Linked DNA regions of Canis lupus familiaris. The protein of the gene in region 1 interacts with the protein of each later gene in a biochemical or structural test. Links are inferred from orthologs where the notes say so. Each region holds a gene or a part of one and is shown on either strand. Other genes may lie near its edges. The genes, in order: CD2, CD58 and CD2BP2.

What was found.
Region 2: the proteins of CD2 (region 1) and CD58 form a complex in vitro, tested with the Homo sapiens proteins (3 studies listed by BioGRID and IntAct, with this or other methods). The link is inferred for Canis lupus familiaris from reciprocal best matches to the Homo sapiens genes CD2 and CD58.
Region 3: the proteins of CD2 (region 1) and CD2BP2 interact in a biophysical measurement, tested with the Homo sapiens proteins (6 studies listed by BioGRID and IntAct, with this or other methods). The link is inferred for Canis lupus familiaris from reciprocal best matches to the Homo sapiens genes CD2 and CD2BP2.

Annotation. Positions count from the first base shown.
Region 1 is NC_049238.1:54,696,813-54,703,679, forward strand, and holds the start of CD2 (T-cell surface antigen CD2), read left to right. Parts: upstream 1-2,542; 5' UTR 2,543-2,643; coding exon 2,644-2,704; intron 2,705-2,824; coding exon 2,825-3,124; intron 3,125-6,867. UniProt on the Homo sapiens protein: CD2 interacts with lymphocyte function-associated antigen CD58 (LFA-3) and CD48/BCM1 to mediate adhesion between T-cells and other cell types. CD2 is implicated in the triggering of T-cells, the cytoplasmic domain is implicated in the signaling function.
Region 2 is NC_049238.1:54,534,846-54,541,664, forward strand, and holds the start of CD58 (lymphocyte function-associated antigen 3), read right to left. Parts: upstream 3,762-6,819; 5' UTR 3,673-3,761; coding exon 3,603-3,672; intron 1-3,602. UniProt on the Homo sapiens protein: Ligand of the T-lymphocyte CD2 glycoprotein.
Region 3 is NC_049227.1:17,898,620-17,905,617, reverse strand, and holds CD2BP2 (CD2 antigen cytoplasmic tail-binding protein 2), read right to left. Parts: upstream 3,796-6,998; 5' UTR 3,728-3,795; intron 3,588-3,727; 5' UTR 3,513-3,587; intron 3,404-3,512; 5' UTR 3,258-3,403; exon of another isoform or gene 3,101-3,257; intron 2,970-3,100; exon of another isoform or gene 2,826-2,969; 5' UTR 2,806-2,825; intron 2,723-2,805; 5' UTR 2,697-2,722; coding exon 2,619-2,696; intron 2,380-2,618; coding exon 2,244-2,379; intron 2,121-2,243; coding exon 1,963-2,120; intron 1,841-1,962; coding exon 1,399-1,840; intron 1,318-1,398; coding exon 1,208-1,317; intron 1,126-1,207; coding exon 1,015-1,125; 3' UTR 880-1,014; downstream 1-879. Other genes in the region: sesquipedalian-1-like, read left to right, coding at 4,285-4,893; TBC1D10B (TBC1 domain family member 10B), read right to left, coding at 5,936-6,580, 6,659-6,813. UniProt on the Homo sapiens protein: Involved in pre-mRNA splicing as component of the U5 snRNP complex that is involved in spliceosome assembly.

The DNA.
Region 1 (6,867 bases):
CACACACACACACAATTTTAAGGATGTTAACCTTTGTCATACATCTTGTCCCCTTTAGTCCTTTGTGTTTTAATGTTTCTTACAGGCTTTTATGTCTGAAACTTTTAAACTTTACATAGTCAGATCCATCAATCTTTCTTTCCTCATGGTTCCTGCCCTTGAAGCCATGCTTACTACCCAGAATTGAATGAGATGCAAGAGTAAATTATTGTTTGAAAAAGAACTGGGATGCCTGGGTGGCTCAGTGGTTGAGCGTTTGCCTTTGGGTCAGGTCATGATCCTGGGGTCCTGGGGTCCTGGAATCCAGCTCGCTGCTCAGTCTGCTTCTTCCTCTCCCTCTGTCCCTTGCTTGCTCTCTCTCTCTCTCTGTCAAGTAAATAAATAAAATCCCCCCTCAAAAAAAGAATCTGCATACACTTTTGAAAAAACGTATCTGAAGCATCCTTTATTTTAAAAAATAAATAGATAAAAAACTTTGCATTACAAAACTAATGTGTTTGTTAACAGAATTTCTGACTTCACAGAAGCAGGTAAGTATAAAGTGCAAATTTCTAATTGGCCTCTTCAAAATCTAAAGTTTTAAAAGAGGAGCACTGTTAAATTTCAGCATCCTTCCAGATGCTGAACTAGAATTCTAGAATCCTTCTAGAATTTTTTCCATGAATTCAGTAATTATGTAATGTGATATGATACAGTATAATCATCACTTTTTAGTCTACTTTATCCTGTTTTGACCATTGTGCAGTATTTCATAATATGAATCTGCCATCATTTTAGGTGTTTGCAATTTTCTATTACAGAAAAATGCTACAACAAATGCCCTTGGACAGAATGTTTCCACATTTATGTAAATACTTGTGTAGAATAGATTTCTCAAGTTAAAATTACTTAGGTAAAAAAAAAATATATATATATATATATATATTTTGAAGTTTGATAGAAATTGCCAAATTTCATCCCCCATGAGGTGTGGATTTGTACTCCCTTCAATATTATATGAAGGTGCATGTTTCTACCTGTATCCTACGTAAACTATTATCTTTTCTAATTTGGCCAATCTGGTGGTGATAATGGTATTTCATAGCTGTATTAGATATCCTCTGATAAGTTTATTGACATTTCTTCTATTAAGAATTTCTTCTATAAACTGTTCATTTGTATCTTTAAATTACATTTTAAAAACTGAGTTTTCTTATTATAGTAATAATTTCCATAACTTGTATATTAATAATTTTTCATATGTATTGCAAATATTTTCCATCATGTCTTTTCATTTTGCTCATCTCTTTGCCAATAAATAAATATTACGTTTTTATTCATCAATTTTGTCCATTTTTTCTATATTACTTTTGGATCATATAGCACATGTAGGTAGGCCTCCTATGCTCAAAGATATGAAGATATATTTCTGTGAATGTTTTTTAGCACTATCACAGTTTCTTTAACATTTAAGAATTTAACACAATTATAGTTTATCTTTGTGGGTGATGTGCATTAGGAATTTGTCAATAATCACGAAGTAAATATTCTCTGTAGGTATCCTTTCACCCAGTGGTTGAGATCCATTGCTTTCACTTAACTTCATTTTCTGGGAAGCTTTCTAAGAGGTAATAACCACATTTGTGCCTAAATTTTAAAAAAAGCAAGCAAGCATAATTTTTAAGATTTTTACTCTATCCTAAGGAAGCACAAAACGACATTTACTTTGGAAATCTATCATTAGGTTTCCCTTTTTTCTGTGGCTGGCTCTCTTGGTGCATTTTTTCTGTGTACACTCATCAACACATCACTTTATTTCTCTCCCCAAATCATAAATTTCTTTCCTCTTTCTCTGAGTCCTCTCTCACTTGTCCTTTTCTCTGTATCTCTTCCTTTCCTTAACCATCTATAATATTAACCATTGTAAATGCTCTGAATGATTCGTTCTGGTTGTTTGACAGTATTCCAGACTCTTTGTGTTTTTGTTTATTTAGGAACAAGTTTTTACTTACTTAACTGGATTTCAATAGAGTTGTAAAATATACGTTGAGCATAAGATCTGGGGATTTCAAGCATTTACAGCTGAGACTCAACTTACATTTCATTTTAATCACAAAGAATTTTAGAACCTCTAAAACACCTTTAAAAGAAGAGAATAAATCCATTTTCATAATTCTTTCACGTGTATACATTCTCCGATGCTTGTAATCATAGGATAAATATATGCTGCTAGTCACTAATGAACTTATTATGGTCCTGTTAGAGGTGGCATAGCAGAATGTCTGGTTAAAGCAGGCTGTCTGGTTAAATCTGGCTCCTTGTTAACCAAAAGGGGATCCTGAATGATTTGCTCAGCCTCTTGGTTCTTTTTCTCTTTGACGGGGTTAATAAAACCCACCCAAGGTTGTTGTAAGGATTAAAATGTGATTAAGAAGATACTCGCACATAATAAACACACCTGCTTTGGTAAAGGAGCATCAGCAGGGTTGGTTTGCTGAGTGTGTGTGTGTGTGTGTGTGTGTGTGTGTGTGTGCTATGCTACTGTAAAAGAAGCAAAAAAGAGAGGCACGTGGTTCAGCTCTCAGAGGGTGGATTCCACTGGTCTTACTTTAGTTCCTTTTGCAGGAAGAGCTCAGAATCACAACAAGGAAACTAACCCCAAAGATGAACCTCGCATGTCAAATCTTAGCCAGCTTCCTTCTGATTTTCGTCTTTTACATCAAAGGTAAGTTGGTGTGGGTCTCCGTTGGAGACCCAAAAGTAAGCATGAAAGTCAAAAAGTCATAGCCTAAAATTTCTCTGGAAGTGAGTCTCGAGATCTCAGTAACTGTCTTGCTTTTTATAGGTGAGGTCCTTGAAACCAAGCTTGTCTGGGGTGCCCTTGGTCATGACTTTGACCTGGACTCTGCTGGTTTTCAAATGAATGCTAAGATAGACCATATCCGATGGGAAAAAGGCAAAACCAAGGTTGCAGAACTCAAAACAGGCATACTTAAAGACACACATGGAAAATACAACATATCAACAAACGGATTTCTGAAAATTAAACATCTGATGATGAATGACAGCGATATCTACAAGGTGGCTATATATGATAAAGATGGAAAGAGTGTATTGAGAAGAAATTATCAATTGAAGATTCAAGGTAAGTCTCATTCCCTAAATTCCTCCATCTCAGTATGGGCGCTACTTAGCAAGTTGGGGAATAACATTTATGGAATGGCCCCAGCCTGCCCTTGGCCAGGGTGGGGGAGCCCTAAAGGGGAACTAATGCATCTCTCCCACCTCAGGGAGGGCTCCAGTCCTGTGGAAGAGATGGAGTCTCCGCATGGGGAGATACACGGCCAATAAAAGTTCGACTCTCTTTGCCGAAAATGCTCTCTTCCATGGTTATGGGGATGTGGAGCTGAGTGTAGAACCTAGATCAAGGTGGCATTGATCAGGAGGAGAGGAACAGGTGGGAAGAAGAGAAAAGTGGTCATTTCAAGTGGATGATGAAAAAGCAAGCTGGGTGTGGAGCAGACTAACTGGAAAGAGGTGGGTCGTCCTTTTAGAGAGACATTTCAAGCCACGATGCCCTGAAAGAGTATTTATATGGCAGGAAAGGGCTGGAAGTTTAAAGATGAACAGCCCTTGTTTCAGATCTGCTCAACATCAGAGTGATGAAAAGTGGAAGATAATTTGGGCTGATGGTTACAGAAAATACAGCAGGTGTGGCCGTATGTGTGTGATGCCCTGGGAGTGCTGGAGGGCCTGTTGAAGATGAGCCTGGGAGCTGCTGCTACAGTACCAGTGGGGTGTGTGTGGGGGTAGGGTACTACTTGGGGATTCTCAACTCGGGCTGCATGTTAGAGTCAACTGAGGCCCTAGGAAAAGTTACCGGTGCCTAGGTCTCAGCCCAGAACAATCAAATCAGAATTTCCTGGCATGGGAGCTGGGCTAAAGCTCCTCAGCTGATTCTAATGGGCAGCCAGAACCGACGACCCCCCAGAGTCGATAAGGGGTGCCTGGAAAATAGGGAAGTAGAGTACATGAAGGGTGCTGGATGGAGAAAGAATGGGCAAGATGGCTTGGGTGCAGGAGACAAGGAAGAGAAAGTGAAATTGAAATGACATTGACGTTCAAAGCCTGGGGACGCTTGGCAGGGCTTGATAAGGAGAAGGGGAAGAAGGCCTCAGTTTGGAGAGGAGGGCAGGAACCCCCCATGAGCAAAAGCCAGAGATGCAGCGAGCAAACAAACCAGTATTTCTGTGCTTCACACAGGAAATGTCGCTAGAGGCAGGGCCCCTTCCCCCTCCCCAGGGTCACCTTCCAGCCCTGCTGTCAGCACGTGGGCCTGGCAGCAGCCCTCCATTCCAGCTCCCCGTACCCAGTTCCCGTATCCAGCTCACGTGACAACTCTCCGTACCCCAGTTCTGCAGCCTTAAATGGAGAGCACATTCCAGAAATGGTGCAGTACTGGAAGTGGCCTCTGCTCAGGGGCTCTGAGAACACCGATCTCATGACTCCTGTCCATACAGGCTCAAGTGTTCCCTTCCGAACAGGAGCCACACATCTGTGTCTTGTCTAGTAACGCCCACGGTGATAATGGCTTACCAGCCGGTGTCAGATGCTTTGCTCCATGATCTTATTTAAGTTTCCAGACAACCCTGAGAGCTAGTTGTTATTGTCCTCTTACTATCTGGAGGGAAACAGAAGTGACTTCTCCACAGTCTCACACCTTGACAGGAGTGGAGCCAGGGTGCAACTCCGGGGCTTCCCTTAATGAGGATGGTGACATTTTTTCCCCCTCAAACAGCTTTTTGGAGATAGAATTCACATACCAGAAGTTCACCCACTTGAAGTGTACACTTCATTAGCTTTGGGTATATTCACAGAGCTGTGCAACCAGCACACAGTTGATTTTAGAACATTCTCATTACCCCCTCATTCCTTGGCCAAAAGACAGATCTTTCCATGGCACAGCAGCCGCCTGGTGTGTGTGTGTGCCAGTGTGTGTGCCAGTGTCACACAGCATTTTAATTCAGTTTGTGGTTTGGTCCCTGTTATTTGCCACATGGCTTCAGGCAAATTCTCTGCTCCGAGTCTGATCTTTGTAATGATAGGTCCGTGGGATGTACAATGAGACAAGGAAGCAAAGGTGCCCTGCAGCACTTGGAACCCCATACCCATTTGCAAAATGCTAACACCCTCCCCCATCCCTGTTTCTTTATGCTGCTCATAGCTTCAGTTTCTGTACCCATATCTCCTTACTGGTGGGGCTGCTGCCCCTGGCCAAAGAGGCATTGGAAGCTCTCTTAAAAGCATGTGTTAGGGGAGAATGAATAAATCCCAGCAACCTAGAACTAAGGCATTCTCATCTATGTGATGTGCCCCCACTTGATCCAGCCATGCTTCTTCCAGGAAGCCACCTCACAGGGAGAATATGCACAAAGACGTGGCTTCAGGAACCTGGTCATAACTGTAAGGTTTATATTAGTGAAATACTGGAAGGGATTGCAAAGTCCCCAGCAGGTATACATTAAATTAAGAAGACATCATCTAAGAGATGATAGAGGGTGAATATCAATGTCCACAAAGGAAAGAATTTCATAATAGATCAATGGTAAGGACGAAGCAGTCTCCAAAATCATCTGATCCCGTTTTAGTTTTTAAAACATTATTTATATATGTATTATGTATAGAAATCACCTGGTAAGGTAAGGATAGACAACAAAATATTAATAATTATTGGCTCTGGGTAGTAGAATTGCATGTGATTTTTAATCTTGCCGCATTTTGTTGCTTCTGATCAATTTTTACCATGACTGGTTGTTAACCTTATAAATAAAAAAAGATTCTTTCCATTTTAAAAAGACAAGTAAACACCTTAACTTGACCCCTAGACTCTGCACTGACCCTGCCTTGTTGACCATCCATCCTCTTCATACTGAATCACCCAGAATCTTGCGATGGGAAGAAAAGTTCATTTCTGCATGCGGATATGTTAGGGCAGAAATGAAATCTGATGGAAAAGTTGATGGAGAAGATCCATTGGCTGGGAGGCAGGCAAAGAGGGAGTCATTGACAAAGAAGCCATCCAGCTGCATAATGAATGGAGAGAAGTTGAGAGGAAAAGGTGGCAAGCCTGGGGAAGGGGAGTAAGGGTGAGATCAAGACCAGAAGAGAAGAAAAAAGGAGGAGGTCACAAAAGTAAGAAGTGGTGGGGTTAGGATTTGGACCTGCGCCATCTGAAGCAAAGGACTTTGTCTTTCATGACACAGCCTTGGCATATTATGGTGTCAGAAAAAGAGAGGCAAGGAGTTGACGATTATGAATATTACAGGAACCGCACTGACATTGGTACCTAACGATTTGCCCAGGGCTCTGTCGCATGTCATCTCTGACAGGTGGGGCATGTCTTGCTTATCCATCTCTTACAGATGAAGCCCGGTGAGGCACGGTGAGGGCTTGAGCAGCTTTGGATGGGGCTGGGGCCCACTCACCCCAGAGCTTGAGCTGCACACCTGGCCCTCTGCTCCCAGGACCTGGTGGATGGTAGCAGGGAGAGGGAGTTGTTTGTGACCAGGGTCCCAGGCCACACATGTAACGATGCCTCCAGGGTAGGGTTCCCAGCTGCTTTGAAGCATTGCACCTCCTCAGGCTTGTGGGGATCAGAACATGTTAACCATCTTACCCATGCTACTGAACTTGGACTTGGGAGAGCAGACTCTTTCCCTGATCTGTCACTTGTTAGTGGGTGCCCTTAGACCACCATTTAACTTCTCAGGTCTTGGGTATGTCCTCTGTAAACGGCAAGAAAACACCAACCTCTCCTGTTTGTTAGGATTAAATGATATTGTGTGTGTGAAAACATTTTAAGGTATAAAATGGCACATAAACATTTGA
Region 2 (6,819 bases), about 160 kb from region 1:
AGTGGGATATATGGAAGAATAAAAAGAACTGAAAAGAAACTTTGAACTTTACATGGTAAATTTTGTGCTTGGTAGTGGTCCTGGTAGAGCAATTATGAAACTATTTTGTGTTTTAATGTATATTAGGAAAATACACTGATTCTACAAGGAACAGAGTTCTCACTGTGGCAAAGAGATATAGAAACAGGGAATGAAGGAAGAGAAAGATGAACCACATGTTTAGATTAGTTTTAGCAGTAACGGGGTAGACTTGTGACTTCGTGAAAACTCTTTCCTAGCTATAAGAACTGATAGCCTAGAAACCATGACTCCTGTAGCTCTGAGCACTAGCACCCAGATACTGATTTCTAAAGCCCATCTCCCACTAAAAGGAACAAGGGAATCTAATGATTACAGGCTGAGACAGAAAAGGTACAAAATAAGTCCAGAACGTCTTTCTGTGCCAAAAAGTAGGACATTCTCAAATAGATGGAGACATGGCAAAGAACACTGAAGCACAGAGGGGTCCCCGTTTGCCCAAGTCTGGATCACCCACCACACATTAAAATAGATGACAAAAATATCATCTTCAGAAATATCATGGCTCCATACTTATATTAAAAAAAGGAAATTAAAAGGGGGTGCAAAAGCTCTTCATTACTGAAGAATGTCCACAGTGTAGAAAGAAAACTAGGGATAGGAAACTGCCAAATAAAAATATTTTATTTAACTTAAATTTCACTTATTTATTCATGAAAGACACAGAGAGAGGCAGAGACATAGGCAGAGGGAGAAGCAGGCTCCCTGCAGTGAGCCCATTGTGGGACTAAATCCCAGGACCCTGGGAGCATGACCTGAGCCGAAGACAGATGCTCAACTGCTGAGCCACCCAGGTGCCCACCATCTACAAATATTTTAATGGACTTGGGTAGCACCAGTGGATGCTAAAACACCAGGTGAGAGATTGTCACGGCACAGGAGAGTCACACAATCTCAAAGTGTCACTTGATAAGCCACATATAATTTATAAAGGGGAACAGGTGCCTCTGTGATAAAGAAATCTGGTGGGTCACCTTCACCAAAGAACCAAAGTTAAGGTCTCCAATAATGGGACAAATGGACTGCATCTACTCTCCAATGGGATGCACACAGAAGGACAAGACACACTTATGGAACAGTCCTGAAAGTTTTAACCAGAATGTAATCAGAAGGAAACAGATCATCCAAATTGAGGGACATTCTATAAAACTGATTTAGACCTTTGAAAAATAGTGATACCATAAGTACCAAAAAAAAAAGAGAGAGAGAGAGTTGGCAAGTTTTAGACTAAAGGGAATTAAAGAGGCAGTACTACCAAATATAGTGTGTGATCCTGGATCAGCCTATAGACTCTATCACAAAACAGTATTGTATCAATGGTGCGTTTCCTGATTGTGATCATGGTTCCATGGCTTACTGGAGACATATTGTTCTTAGAAGACATATGCTGAAATACTTAAGGGTGAGGTGTCATAAGATCTGCAACTCTCAAATGTTTAGACAAAAAAATTAAGTGTGTATAAACAGAGAGAAGTAAACCAAATGTGTCAAAAATGTTAGTAACTGGGGATTTCAGGAGAAAAGTTAGTGTTTGTCACATTGTTTTTTGCAACTGTTCTAAACATTTCCAACATTCCAAAGTTTTAAAGAATTAAAAGGAAATACGAATTGTGCCCACACCCCTTTCCTCCAAATTACTAATCTCTGTATTAGTAAATGTTTACCACCACCCAACATGTACATATTTACTCATTTATTCAGTTACTGATTCTCTCCCCCACTACTAAGTAAACTTCACAAAAGCAGGGAAGTCTGTTCCTTGTTGCAGCCCAGGTCTCACGTCTAGTGCCCAACACATAGTTGACAATCAGTAAGAACGTGTTTGTGACTGATGTTCACACTCTAGGAAGTACACACTATTATTACCCTTCTTCACCAGTGAGTGGTACTCTCTCTCTTCCGAGACAAGCCAGGCTCACAGAACTTTCCACCGGCATAGGAAAGCCTCAGAGCTCTCTGGGTCCTGTGATGGCATCCGGGCCTCCAATTACTCTCAGCTGCACCCTTTCCTCTGTACTGCTGCCAGATTATTCCTCCTCAATGCACGGTTCTGATTCTGTGAGGCCCAGAAAGAATTCTCTGCCTGCAGAAGATAATCGACACTCCCAATGGGGCTTGGATCAGGGCTCTGCCGTGGGGCCTCCAGCTCCTATGGGCACATTTATGCTCCAGTGACATTGGAGACCCTGGGACTGGGACTCTTCACTGCCCAGGTTCACCTTGTACATGCTGCTTCCCTTTTCCCCACATCATGGCACGCCCACACCGCCACCCATCCTCAGAGGACAGGTTCAAATATCCTTCCTTCCGTGGAATCTCTGCTTTACAAGAAATACTTGACTTCACAAAAGACCTTGGTCCCCTCCCTGTGCACGACCATCGCATTTTATGCTCAGCGTGACTTCCATTTACTTCTGTGCCTTGTACTGTAGGCACTTGTGCTATCTCTGCACCCCAACCCGCTAGGCTGTCCTCCGCAGACGCGGGTCCACAGCACTCCACGGAAGCTGAGGCAGAAATGAGGATGCAAGGTTGATCTGTAGCATGTGCAAGGCGGGCCCCAACAGGAAACCCTCAAGGAAAGAAGAAGTAGTGAAGGGTTTAGTACTGTGCTCCCTCCAAGAGTTTGGCTGTGACTCCGTGTGCAGGGCTTTGCGGGGGGGGGGGGGGGGAGGCAAAAAGGGAGACGGGCACAAGGAGTGGGAAAAGGATGAACTCCGTTCTAGACACGTGGAGTTCTTTGACGTTTTCAAGGGAGGGCAAAGGAGCACCAGCCGCCCCGCTCAGGACCCCGGAAAGATTCAGACATTTCCCTCGGCGGCTCGCTGACCCAGGCCGGGTTCTCGGCCCGCAGGAGCGGCGCAGGGGCGGGCGCGGCTGGGGCGCGGGGGGCACGGGGGGGGAAGGGGGGCGGGCGGAGCAGGGCGGCGGGGGTCACGGGGGGGGACGGGGGGTGACGGGGGCGCGGCGGGGCCCCGGCACCAGGCTGCAGCCGCGCTCCTGCGCCCTCCTCCGCTCGGGGCGCGCCGCGGATAAGCCGCGTCCTTGCGCAGGTGCGACCCGGGGCCGGGGCCGGGGCCGGTCCTGGGAGAGCTCAGCCCCGCGGAAGCAGTGAAAGGGCCGTCCGAGGGCTCGGCGACGGTCCCCTGGGGCTGGCGGGGCGGGGGGAACCACGAGCGACCTAGAGTCCCTGGAACGTCAGCCAGGGCACACCCTTCCGGAGGAACCCCGAGCGGGCACGACGGGGGTGTCGGGCCCGGCCCCGGAGCGCAGTCCCGCCCCTCCTCCCAACGAAGATTCGCGTGCCTAAGGTCAGAGTGGCTTCCTGGCGGCCCACGGGAGACTGAAGCGACGAGTCGGCCGGACGAGGTCCCGCCTCGCCCCGCGGGCTGCGTTCCTGGTCTCCAGTCCCCCTGAGCCGCCTCGACTCGGGGCGTCCGCCGGCCGCGGAGCCCCGAGGCCACCGACACCCCCAGCGCGGTCCCGGCCCCGGCCCCGGCGAGCCCGGGAAGGCCTCCACTCACCGAACTGGAGCAGCAGGCACATCGCGCAGAGCACCCCCGCCGCCGCGCCCCGCGCTCTCCCTGCGGCCATGGCGCGGCCGGCAGGCCTCCCGGCAGGACTCAGCCCGGACGATGGGTTCCCGGGTGGCCGGGGCCTCAAACCCGGGCCCCGCCCCGGACTCCGCCCCGCCCCGCCCCCGCCCCGCCCCCGCCCCGCCCGGCCCCGCGCCGGGCCCGAGCCTCGGCCCCCGCCCCCGCCCCCGCCCCGGGTCTTGCCCCCCGCCCCACCCCGGCCTCGGCTCCCGTCCCGGCCCCCCGCCCCGGGCCCGGCCCCCTGCCCCGCCCCCGCCCCCGGCCTCGGGCCCCGCCCCGCTGCGCCCCCGCTGCGCCCCCGCGCCTGCCTCCTCTCCCCGCGGTGCGGTCGCGCGCCCACCCGGACCCCAGAGTCGTTCCGCTGCCACCAGTCTGCTCTGCGGAGCTCCTCCTCCAAAGTGGCTTACGTTTTTATTTATCCATTTTTGGATTTTTAAATTTTGTTTATTTGACACAGAGAGAGAGCACAGGCAGGGGGAGTAGGAGAGGGCGAGCAGGCTCCACGCCAAGCAGGGAGCCCGACGCGGGGCTCGACCCCAGAACCCCAGGATCACGACCTGCTGAAGGCAGACGCTTAACCGCGCCCCGTGGCTTATCTCGGTGCCTCGCGCTCCTCCGGCACTTTCCCTGGACGTTGGGACGTGACGGAGGCCTCGGTAGCCCGGGATGCCGCGCTCACCGCCCCCGCGAAGCTGGCCCCCAGGTGCCAGGGGAACTGCGCAGGCACCGAGGGGCTGCCAAGGCTTCCTGCAGCGCTTGGAGCAACGGCCGCAGCCGCCGGCCCCCCGCCCCGCCCCGCCCCGCCCCGCCCCCCGGAGTCGCCTTCTCCTGCCAGTCACCGTCCTGGGGGAGTAGAACGAAAGCACAGGGCATTGGGGGCAACTGCTACAACGTGCCTGATTACCTGGTGCAGCCGGCCCCGCCCGTGTCACTCCGGTCCAGGCCACATTTTCCTTAAGCCTGCCCCCCCCCCGACCCCCCCAACACTACCTTCCCCAGAGCTGGGGGTCCTAGCCTTGGGTTTCTCCCTTCTCAATTTCCTCTTTGTTTTCCTCTTCCTCCAACTCAGCTGTGGGCTTTCCTTTACGCTGAGAAGTCGGTCCAGTCGCTCCGCACCGTTGGGCCTCCCCCCAGAACCCCCCACCTCAGCTGCAACAGGCACCTGGACACACCATCCTAGTGCTTAATCTTCTTAAAAAAAAAAAAAAAAAAAAGGTTTTATTTACTTATTAGAGAAAGAGCATGAGCCGCGGAAGGGGCAGAGAGAGAAGTAGACTCCCCGCCGAGCAGGGAGCCAGAATGTGGGGCTCCAGCCCAGGACTCGGGGATCTTGACCTGGGCCCACCTCAGACGTTTAACCCACCGAACCACCCAGGCGCCCCCTAGCCTAGTGGTGGTAAGAATTCTTGATTGGCTTGTCTGTCAAATTTGTCAAAGAACTCCCAGAACCAGCTCCCCACATGCCTTCCCGTCTGTCCCCTTTCAGAGAGAAGCACGACTTGCTCCTGCCCAGCTGTGGGAGGGAAGGGAACTCTGAAGCTCTTCCAGTGAACAGGATATCCTGCTGTCCTAATAAACACCAACCTGTCAGTTGTGAAACAGGGGAAATTGCCATATTGTTGCTGTCATCTCCATCATCCTCAAGCCAGGATCCCCAAACTACTCAAGACATCTGAACTATACTGTAAGGATTCATTAGTTCTTAAGTCAGCCAAAAAAATCTTAAGTTATCTAGGGGCGCCTAGAGCACACAACTCTTGATCTCAGCTCAGGTCTTGATGCAGCACTGTTGAGTTCAAGCCCTGTGTTGGGCTCCATGCTGGGTGTGGAGCCTACCAAAAATAAATAAATAAATAAATAAATAAATAAATAAATAAATAAATAAATAAATAAATAACCATAAATCCTAAAGGTATCTCTATCAGTGAAATGTGGGGGACAAACGTCATGTACCATGAAGTATCCTACCTTAAAACATCCCTACCATCTGTAGATACTGGAACGTGAGGCAGGTGCGGTGTATAGCACAAAATGGGAGAAAATCAAGTTTCTGCTCTGCCATGGGCTAGTAGGAACTCAGGCCAACTGAGAAAGTTAGGATAGGGTCAAACTTTTAGACACTAGAGTGCCCCTGAATATTTTTAAACTGAGAAGTGATGTAACAGCAAACGTATGCTGAGCACTTACTAAGCCAGGCCTTGCATTAAGTGCATTACCCCCAATTAATTTAATCTTCTTGCTGTCTCTAAATTCACAAATGAGAAAACAGACACTCAGAGAAGATGCGTGACTTGCCCAAGGACACATAGTAAGGAGCAAAACTGGGAGTCCAACTAAAGCTACATCCAAAGCACGACTCTTACCCCGTCATACAGAACAGGATGCAACTTTCAGATAGGCAACCATGCTGTCGTTTGGACCAGCCAGCAGGAGCGGTCAACCATCTCCAGAGCAGGGCTGGGGAAAATTTTGCCCAGTCACGTGGGGCTGAGAAGTATGCCTCAGGTCATGGTCTCCGGCCTTCGAGTAAAGAATGATTCATTAGGTCTTCTTTGGTTGGATGCTCTGCTGACCAAGACTAGCAGAACAGTGCCAGCTTTTTCATTAAGAGAAATGCTGTGCATCAAGCATTTTTTTAAAAATATTTTTTAAAGTAATCTCCACACTCAACATGGGGCTGAAACCCAGAACCCCAGGATTAAGAGTGACACATGCTACCGACTGAGCCAGCCAGCTGTCCCTTCTACAGCATTTTTAAGAGAGCTTATATGCCTAGCAGACTTCATGAATCAAAAGCGGCTTGAAAAGGTGGACCCGAGTTGGGCAATGGGCCAAAGAGGCTCTATTCATATATTGAGGACTTGCCCCCAAAAGGAGAGTGGATGTGTTTTTCATCCTCTGGCCTGTATTGAGAGCTCCAGTCTTATCTGCTTGTCACTGTAGATAATCATGAACCAGAGCTTTAGAAAGGAGGGCTCATCCAGCCTGCTCATGTGGCATAGGGCTCCTTTCTGGTATTCTGGCTCTAGTTCTTGCCAACCTTGGAACTACACCCCAGGAAACTTAAAAATCCCAGAATGAACTGAGCAAAACACGGATCCTAAACCTGCATACATGGAAACCGCCCCCTGCCTCTTGTGAAAAT
Region 3 (6,998 bases), on another chromosome or scaffold:
TCCCAACCACCAAGCCACTACCTAGATCAATTCATTCAGAACATGAGGAGTAATTTTACAGCCCTGCTGAGACACCAATGGACAGTCGAGGTAGAAATGTGGAGGACTCCCCCTAACCTGGTGCATGAGAGAAGAGGCATAAGGCAAAACTGGTTAGAGGTGGGAGGTCCAGGTTCAATGATACCTGTCTCCTTCCCGACCCCACTCTTCAGAATCTGAATTCCTGGAAGTGGATCAGCTCCCTAGTTATTGAGAGTTCCTTCAAAGCACTAGCCTCATACCAGGCACACCACGAGAGCCCAGGGAATGGAAGCTTCAGGGCCTCAAAGGTGCCAAGAAAGGTCTGGGCAAGAAACCCATGGGGTCAAGTCATGCTCAGATTGCTGTGTGAGCTCCAGGGAGACACTGCCCCTCTTTGTCTGTTCAATGGTTGGCCCAGGTGGCCTGGAGTTCACACTTCGCCTGAGGAGCTGGAGATCCCGAGGGGGTGGGGAGGGAGTGGGTACCAGGCTTCCCACTCACCCCCAGCATATGTCTCAGCCCTTTTGAAGCCTAAAAATTTCTACTTCTGAAGCTCCATCTTATACTGGCTAGAGACTCTAAAGTTCTAAAAACAGGACTGCAGAAAAACAAAACAGGAACCCTGCTCCGAGGGTACTGGAGAACAGCAGGTGAGCAAAGAGATTTTTGAGATGGTGAGCAGAATCCAGGTGGGAAGGCCACAGGCCACCTGGGAGCCCTGGCTCTACCTTGGGAATGGTAAACAAAGGTGAGGTGGCTCAAGTGACCAAACACTCCCAAGAAGAACTTCATGAGGCAAGTCCAAAGGGGCTATGAAGCACCTTAGCTCCTGGCCATCAGCACAGCCAAGGCCCTAACATACAACTAAAGGCTTTTATTGGGAAAGGAAAATGGACTGAAAGGTGGCCCCCAAAATCCTCAATGCCTGAGACAGCTGGGGCCTCCTCCAGAGTCAAGGAAAGAAGGGACCACCAAACTGGGCCCTCAGCAGACTCAGGTGTAGAGGTCAAAGTCAATGCGTTTGGAGTTGTAGAACTGTCCACCGGGAGGGTCCAGCTTCCGGCAATAAACACCATCTGCGAAGTAGCCTTCGTTCACCCAGGTCTGCAGGAAAGGAAAGCAGAGCTGGGGAAAGACTCATGGGAGAAGGGAAGGGGGGTAGTGGTAGAAGCAGGAAAGGGCTTACCTGCATCTGGGTGCTGGTGAAGGGCCCATACAGCTCAGCATCCCCTGTGTTCTCCCACTTATATTCCCACATCACGTCCACCAGACCATCATCTCCTTTCAATTCTGCTTCTAAAACAACAGGCAAAGCCATCTGGCCCTCAAGTGCCCTACCTCCTGCCCCAACACCCCTCCTCTGCCTTCTGATCTTACCTCCCCTCTGTGTGGGGGTTGGGGTCTCCAGCTCCCCCTCTGCCACTTCCTCAGCAAACATGTCCAGAGAGGGTGGGGGTGTGGGGTCAGGGGGTCCCTGAGTCCGGGACCCCAACCCCTTCAGCCGCATGGCTAACCGTTCCCTTGTCTCCTGATATACACCGAGGTTGCCCCGGGCCACCATCTGGTCAGCCAACCCAGAGAGCCGATCCAAGCGCTGAGGGGAACTAGGCCGCCCAGCCCCCTTGCTGCCCCCTTTGCCACCTCCTCCTCCTCGGGCCCCCAGACGCCTCAGTGCCCCGGCCACTGTCTCTCTGGGTAACAGCAGCTCCAGAAGGCCCTCCAGGAGGGCTTGGGCACTCATTGGTGTCTGGCCCAGGCTGTCTTCTTCCTCTGAGTCTGAAGGTGGGCGCTGATCAGGTGGCCGCTCCTTGATCTTCACCTGTGATATGAAAACGGGGTGGGGGGGGGGGGGTCGGTTATCTCTTACAAACCGTGAGCAGGGCACAAGCCCAGCACTTGCTGCCTCCAGGTCCCCAGCCAAAGTCAACCCCTGGGCCACACCCAGTCAATGTTGTCCAGCCAGCTATCTCGGATCTGAGCATCCCGGTTCAGAAAGTAATTGCCATCAGCATCAAAGTGGCCTTCCTCCATCTCTTCCTGCAGGTTGAAAGGTGTGATCCGCACACCTCCCTCACTGGGGAGTGTGGCTGCTTCCTGACCTGCACCAAAGACACAGGTGGCCCAGGCTGAGCAAGCAAAAACAGACAAGAGCCTTCTCCACCCCATATCCCGTGAAACCCCATCTGTTCCTCCAGCAGCAACAATTCTTGGGTTTAGCTCACCTTCCACATCCTCTGAGGCCAGGATGTCGTATTTGCTGGACCCCTCATCATCATCATCCTCCTCATCACTGTCCAAAGAGTGTTTGCCTTTGAAGCGGCTCCCAGGACCCCCTGCCCCAGCCACAGGATCCACCAGCTGTGAGGAGCCAGCAAGTTGAGAGATGCAGGTTTGCGGCTATTCCTCAAAGTACTCTAGGAAGGTTTTTCTTCAAAGCTTTCTCAGACTGAAAATTCTCCAAACCCATTTCCCAGAGAACATGGAAAAAGCGAGACCTTTCACCGCTTTATCCCCACCAGCTTTCTTTCTCTTCTAGCCTCCAGTTCCTTCTCCCTGCCCTCACTCCTCCCCAGAATACAGGAGTCTGGCCACCTCACCTTCTTCTTGGGGACACTGATTTCATCCTCATCATCCTCATCTCCTACGCCTTGGAAGGTCACTTTCCTCTTTGGCATGCCTGCACAGAGGGGCCTTCGCCAAGCTGAGCGAGGGAAAGGGTGCAGATTAAGGGAACTGGGCGAGGCTACTCACCGCCGAAGGGCCGCCAGCACAACAAATAATCACCTGGTACGCACTAGATCCAGCTTGGGAAGAGAGGGTGCAGAGTCAGGGGCCGAAAGGGAAGTCGGCCGCCAGGAGGCCCCGGGGACTTGGTTTGGTCCAAAAGAGTTGCTGGTGCGGGGCCGGAGAGGCGGACGCGCGGAGGGGCTTCCCACGGGCAACCCCCACCCTTGACGAAAGGAGACAGACCCCCCACACATGCCCCCCCATTCCTGGCCCCCGCAGTCCTGGGTGCGACGAGGCTCTGAGGGCTGACACCGGCTCCTACACCCCCAGCTCCCTCAGAGCCCGCGGGGCCCGGGCGGACCCAGGACCTGGCGTCCTGGCCGACCCCCTCTTCCCCGCGCCGAACTCCCGGCTCCGAGGGGTGACCCCCAACTGTCCCGGGCTAAGTGTACAAATCAGAGGGGCGGCAGAACCGCGAGGATTCCAGGACCCCACCGGCGCGCGCTCACCTAAAGATCGACGGGAGGCCGGCGGGGAAGGAAAAAGAGAGCTGCTTTCCCCACGGCTACGTCCGGGGCAGCGGCCGCCATCACCCGGAAGGGAACTGCGGAAGGCGCTGGAGAAGGCCGGAAGTGGCTTCACTCGGGGTAGGGGACTAAGTGGAGAAGCGGGCGGAAGTACACAGTGAGCGGGAAACACCTCCCCGCCCAACCCAGAGTGACGTGATCAGTGTGGGGCGACAATGGCGAGAACAGGGGACGTACGAACGCCTAGGCCCCGATCAGACGAGAGAGATGGCCGGATGCGGTTTCGATTCCCTCCGACAGCAGTCAGAGGCTCTGGGGAGAAAGCAGAGCGCACTCTACTTAAAGGGGCGCCCAGGACCATGATGGAGGAGCAAAGTGGGACAATGGCCCGTTTCCCTTTCCATAGTTGAATCACTTTCCCCAGGGTTGCCCAAGGGCTTTGCGCCCCTCACCAGAATCTTCTTGGAAACCCTTCCTTTCCACTCAGCGTCCAGTCCAGTCCACTCCTACCCCGAGGTGCGGCCCTGCTCTTTTCCCCGAGGCAAGACCCGGTTCTGATGGCCAGCCTGGAGGCCCGGGGTGGTTCCGGGGCACTTGCCGAACACAGGTCTCTTTAGGACCCGGGGGAAGTCATTTACCCGACACCTATCCCCTGGGGAGTTCCTGGTTTGAGAGGTGGGAAGAGCCGTCTCGGAAAGGTGACGGTGGTACCTGTGTCCAGTACCCAGGCCGAAGTTTCTTGTGCCCTGATTTCAGGTAGGCCTGGAAAAGGGCAACAGTGCGTCTCTCCAACTACAGGCGCAAGCAAATAGGGGTCCAGGCCAGCGGCCCCTGCCCAGGGTCTGTAAACTAGCCCAAAGGGGAGAACTGTAGGTGGGAGGTGTCGGCCCCAGTGCTGGGGGGGGGGGGGGGGAGCAAGACCTGTACTCTTGAGGACACTCTTAAATCCCACTAGGCTAGGACCAGCTCTCTCTCCTGCCCCCAAGGTCTACTCCCAGATTGGACTACCATGAAACTGCACCAGAAATCCGTACTCAATTTCTTCCGTGGATACAGAAAAGCTCCAGACCGCGAGGGCATCTTGCTGAAGAAAGGAGCCCGAAATATCAGCTATCAACGCCGCTGGTTCATCCTCCGGGGAAACCTCCTCTTCTACCTGGAGAACCAGGCGGACCACACACCCCTGGGCCTCATTCTCTTGGAAAACTGTCGGGTGGAGCCACGCCTTGGGGCCACAGAACCCTATGCCTTTACCATACTGACCCCTAGGGTTGAGGGAACAGCTGGGCGTGCCTACAAATTGGCAGCAGAAAACCAGGAAGAGCTGGGAGCCTGGCTGTGGGCACTAGCTGGGGCGAGCTGGAGGCGGCTGGTGGCGCTACTACCCCCCCTGGAGGCCCAGTACCGGGAGCTGTGCCAGGCAGCTGGCCAAGAGCCCAGCTCACCCCCAGAGGACTGTGGCTTTCTTGCCACCCTCGGTATCCCCTCCAGCTTCCAGGAATTGCATGAGCACTTTGGAAAGGAGATCCGGGTGCTGCAGGTGGTGCGTAGAGGGCCCCAGGCTAACAATGGGGGCAGCAGATCCCAGGCAAAAGAGGAACAGGAGCTCAGCAGCTGATGAGTGACTGAAAGGTGGACCAAAGGCCAAGAGGTACCCACGTGCCAAGACCAGCCCACAGCTTCGGTAGATGCCTGGATCCTGGCCTGCTCCACTGTTTCCCACCCCCTGCCCAGTCCTTATTCTAACCCCCTCTATCAAATAACAAAGCAGGAGACGGGCCCAGGTACAACAGCAGGTTCTTTTCTGATTCCTCAAAGCGCTGCATAGGATAGGAGCAGAGATAGAAGAGAATGTAAACATTGGGTTCCACCCCCTGGAGCTCAAGGGAAGACCCCTTCCCCAGATAGGGGCTGGAGGGAAACAATGTAAAAGGTGGGGACCCTGGTGAGACAAAGCAGGAGAGGCCTGAGAATACACAGGAAGGTGGTGAAGAAGAAAGAGAGCAAGGAGGATGGTTGGGGGGGGGGGGCATTTCCTGTTCCAAGGCATGTCCCCTTAAATAAATGAGTGCAAGAACATTGTAGAAGGAGAACTAAAGGACAGAAGATAGAGCGAACACCCCCACCCTGGACCCACCAGGTCCTCTGTACATAATTACAACGCAGAGATGTCCGAAAGTAGAGCGAGGAGAGCTTTGGCCCCCAGGCAGGAAGAGGGGGAGATGGGCAGGGCTGCAGGGAAAAAGGAACCCGGCTCCACTCACGGATAAAGGGGAGCAACTGGAGTGTAAGAATCTGAAAACTGCTGATTCCCATCGCCAAGTCACCCCTGAGGTGACTAAAGGCCAATCAGGACTGCACCTGGGAAGGACCCCAGAGGGAATTGGGGCAGGAGTGACAGAGACCCCAGCTGGACCTAACTGGAGGTGAGGGGCTCCAGACTTATTCGAGGCTGTCCCAAGGAGAGGCGGCTGCCCAGTGCGCTCCCACTGTCCCAGCTGTGTAGGGACCAGTGGCTGGCAAAGGAGATGGGGAGCCAACTGCTTTCCCCAGAGAGAGTGACCACTGGCCCAGGAGGCTTGGGGCAGCACCCCAGGCCAGGCCTGCTCTGGACTGAGGAAAAAAGAGGGAGGTCATGCAGTCCAGCCCCAAAACAGAGGTCAGAAGTAAGCATCCTGCCGGGCCTCAGATGCCGAGGACCTGTCCCCACCATCCTGGGGGGTGGGGGGCCCATCTGCCTTTCGACGCAGTGAGAGCTTCCTGCCCTGGGCCTTCTTTTCCTGCTTCTGCCGCTCCTTCTCCTGCTTCTGTTGCTCCTTCTCCTGCTCTTTTTCCCACTTCTGCCGCTCCTTCTCTTGCTTTTCCCGTTCTTTCTCCTGTTTCTGCCGCTCCTTCTCACGTTCCTTTTCCTGTTTCTGCCGCTCTTTCTCTTGCCTTCGAGTCTCCTTGCTGGGAGCCAGTGGGGTGCTATTGCCAGTAGGCGAAGGAAGGGATGGATGTAGTCCCTCAGCAGTGACCACGGGCCCTGGAGTGGGCCCAGCACTAGCCCTGCGGGCAGGAGGAGGTGGAGAGGGGACCCCCCCCGTAGCCCGGGAACCTCGGCTCTTGAGGCCAGGGAGGCTAAGAAGGCTGGACGAGGGGCCCAGAGGTGGCTGCTGCCGCCGACGCTCCTCATGGATGGCCCGGGAGCCATGTAGTCGCCGAGAGGGCCGATACTGCAGCTCCCCCCGGGTTTCCCGCCACTTCTTAAGCTGGGTTGTGTTCTCTCGCTCAATCAGGGCTTCTGTCACTGGGAGGTTGGTGACCTAGACAGAGAAGAAATGGGTAGCAGGACGAAGGGGATGGGATGAAGCAGGTGTGGATGTGCTCAGGCCACAGCCTACCTCATGCACCAGGAAGTCCTCCTGCATGCACTGCTGGGGCAGGTTGCGCAGCTGCTCCATGGTCTCATACATGCCCTGGCAGGAGCGGAGCTTCTCCACCGAGCCCAGCGTGTGCCGCAGCAGCACCAGGGCCACCCGGAAGATGATCTTGACGCCTGCAAGGGCAGAGAAAAGACAGCGTGGGTGACCAGGGATGGGACTTCAACTTGCCCCAATTCAAAGGGACTCATAGGCTCTATCCCTGTCCTACTGCCATCCTCATAGATGAGGAAACTGAGGCCCCATGAAGGAAAATGAGCTGACATGGGTTTCAAGTTCCTGGGAGGGAGAGTAGGCTCCA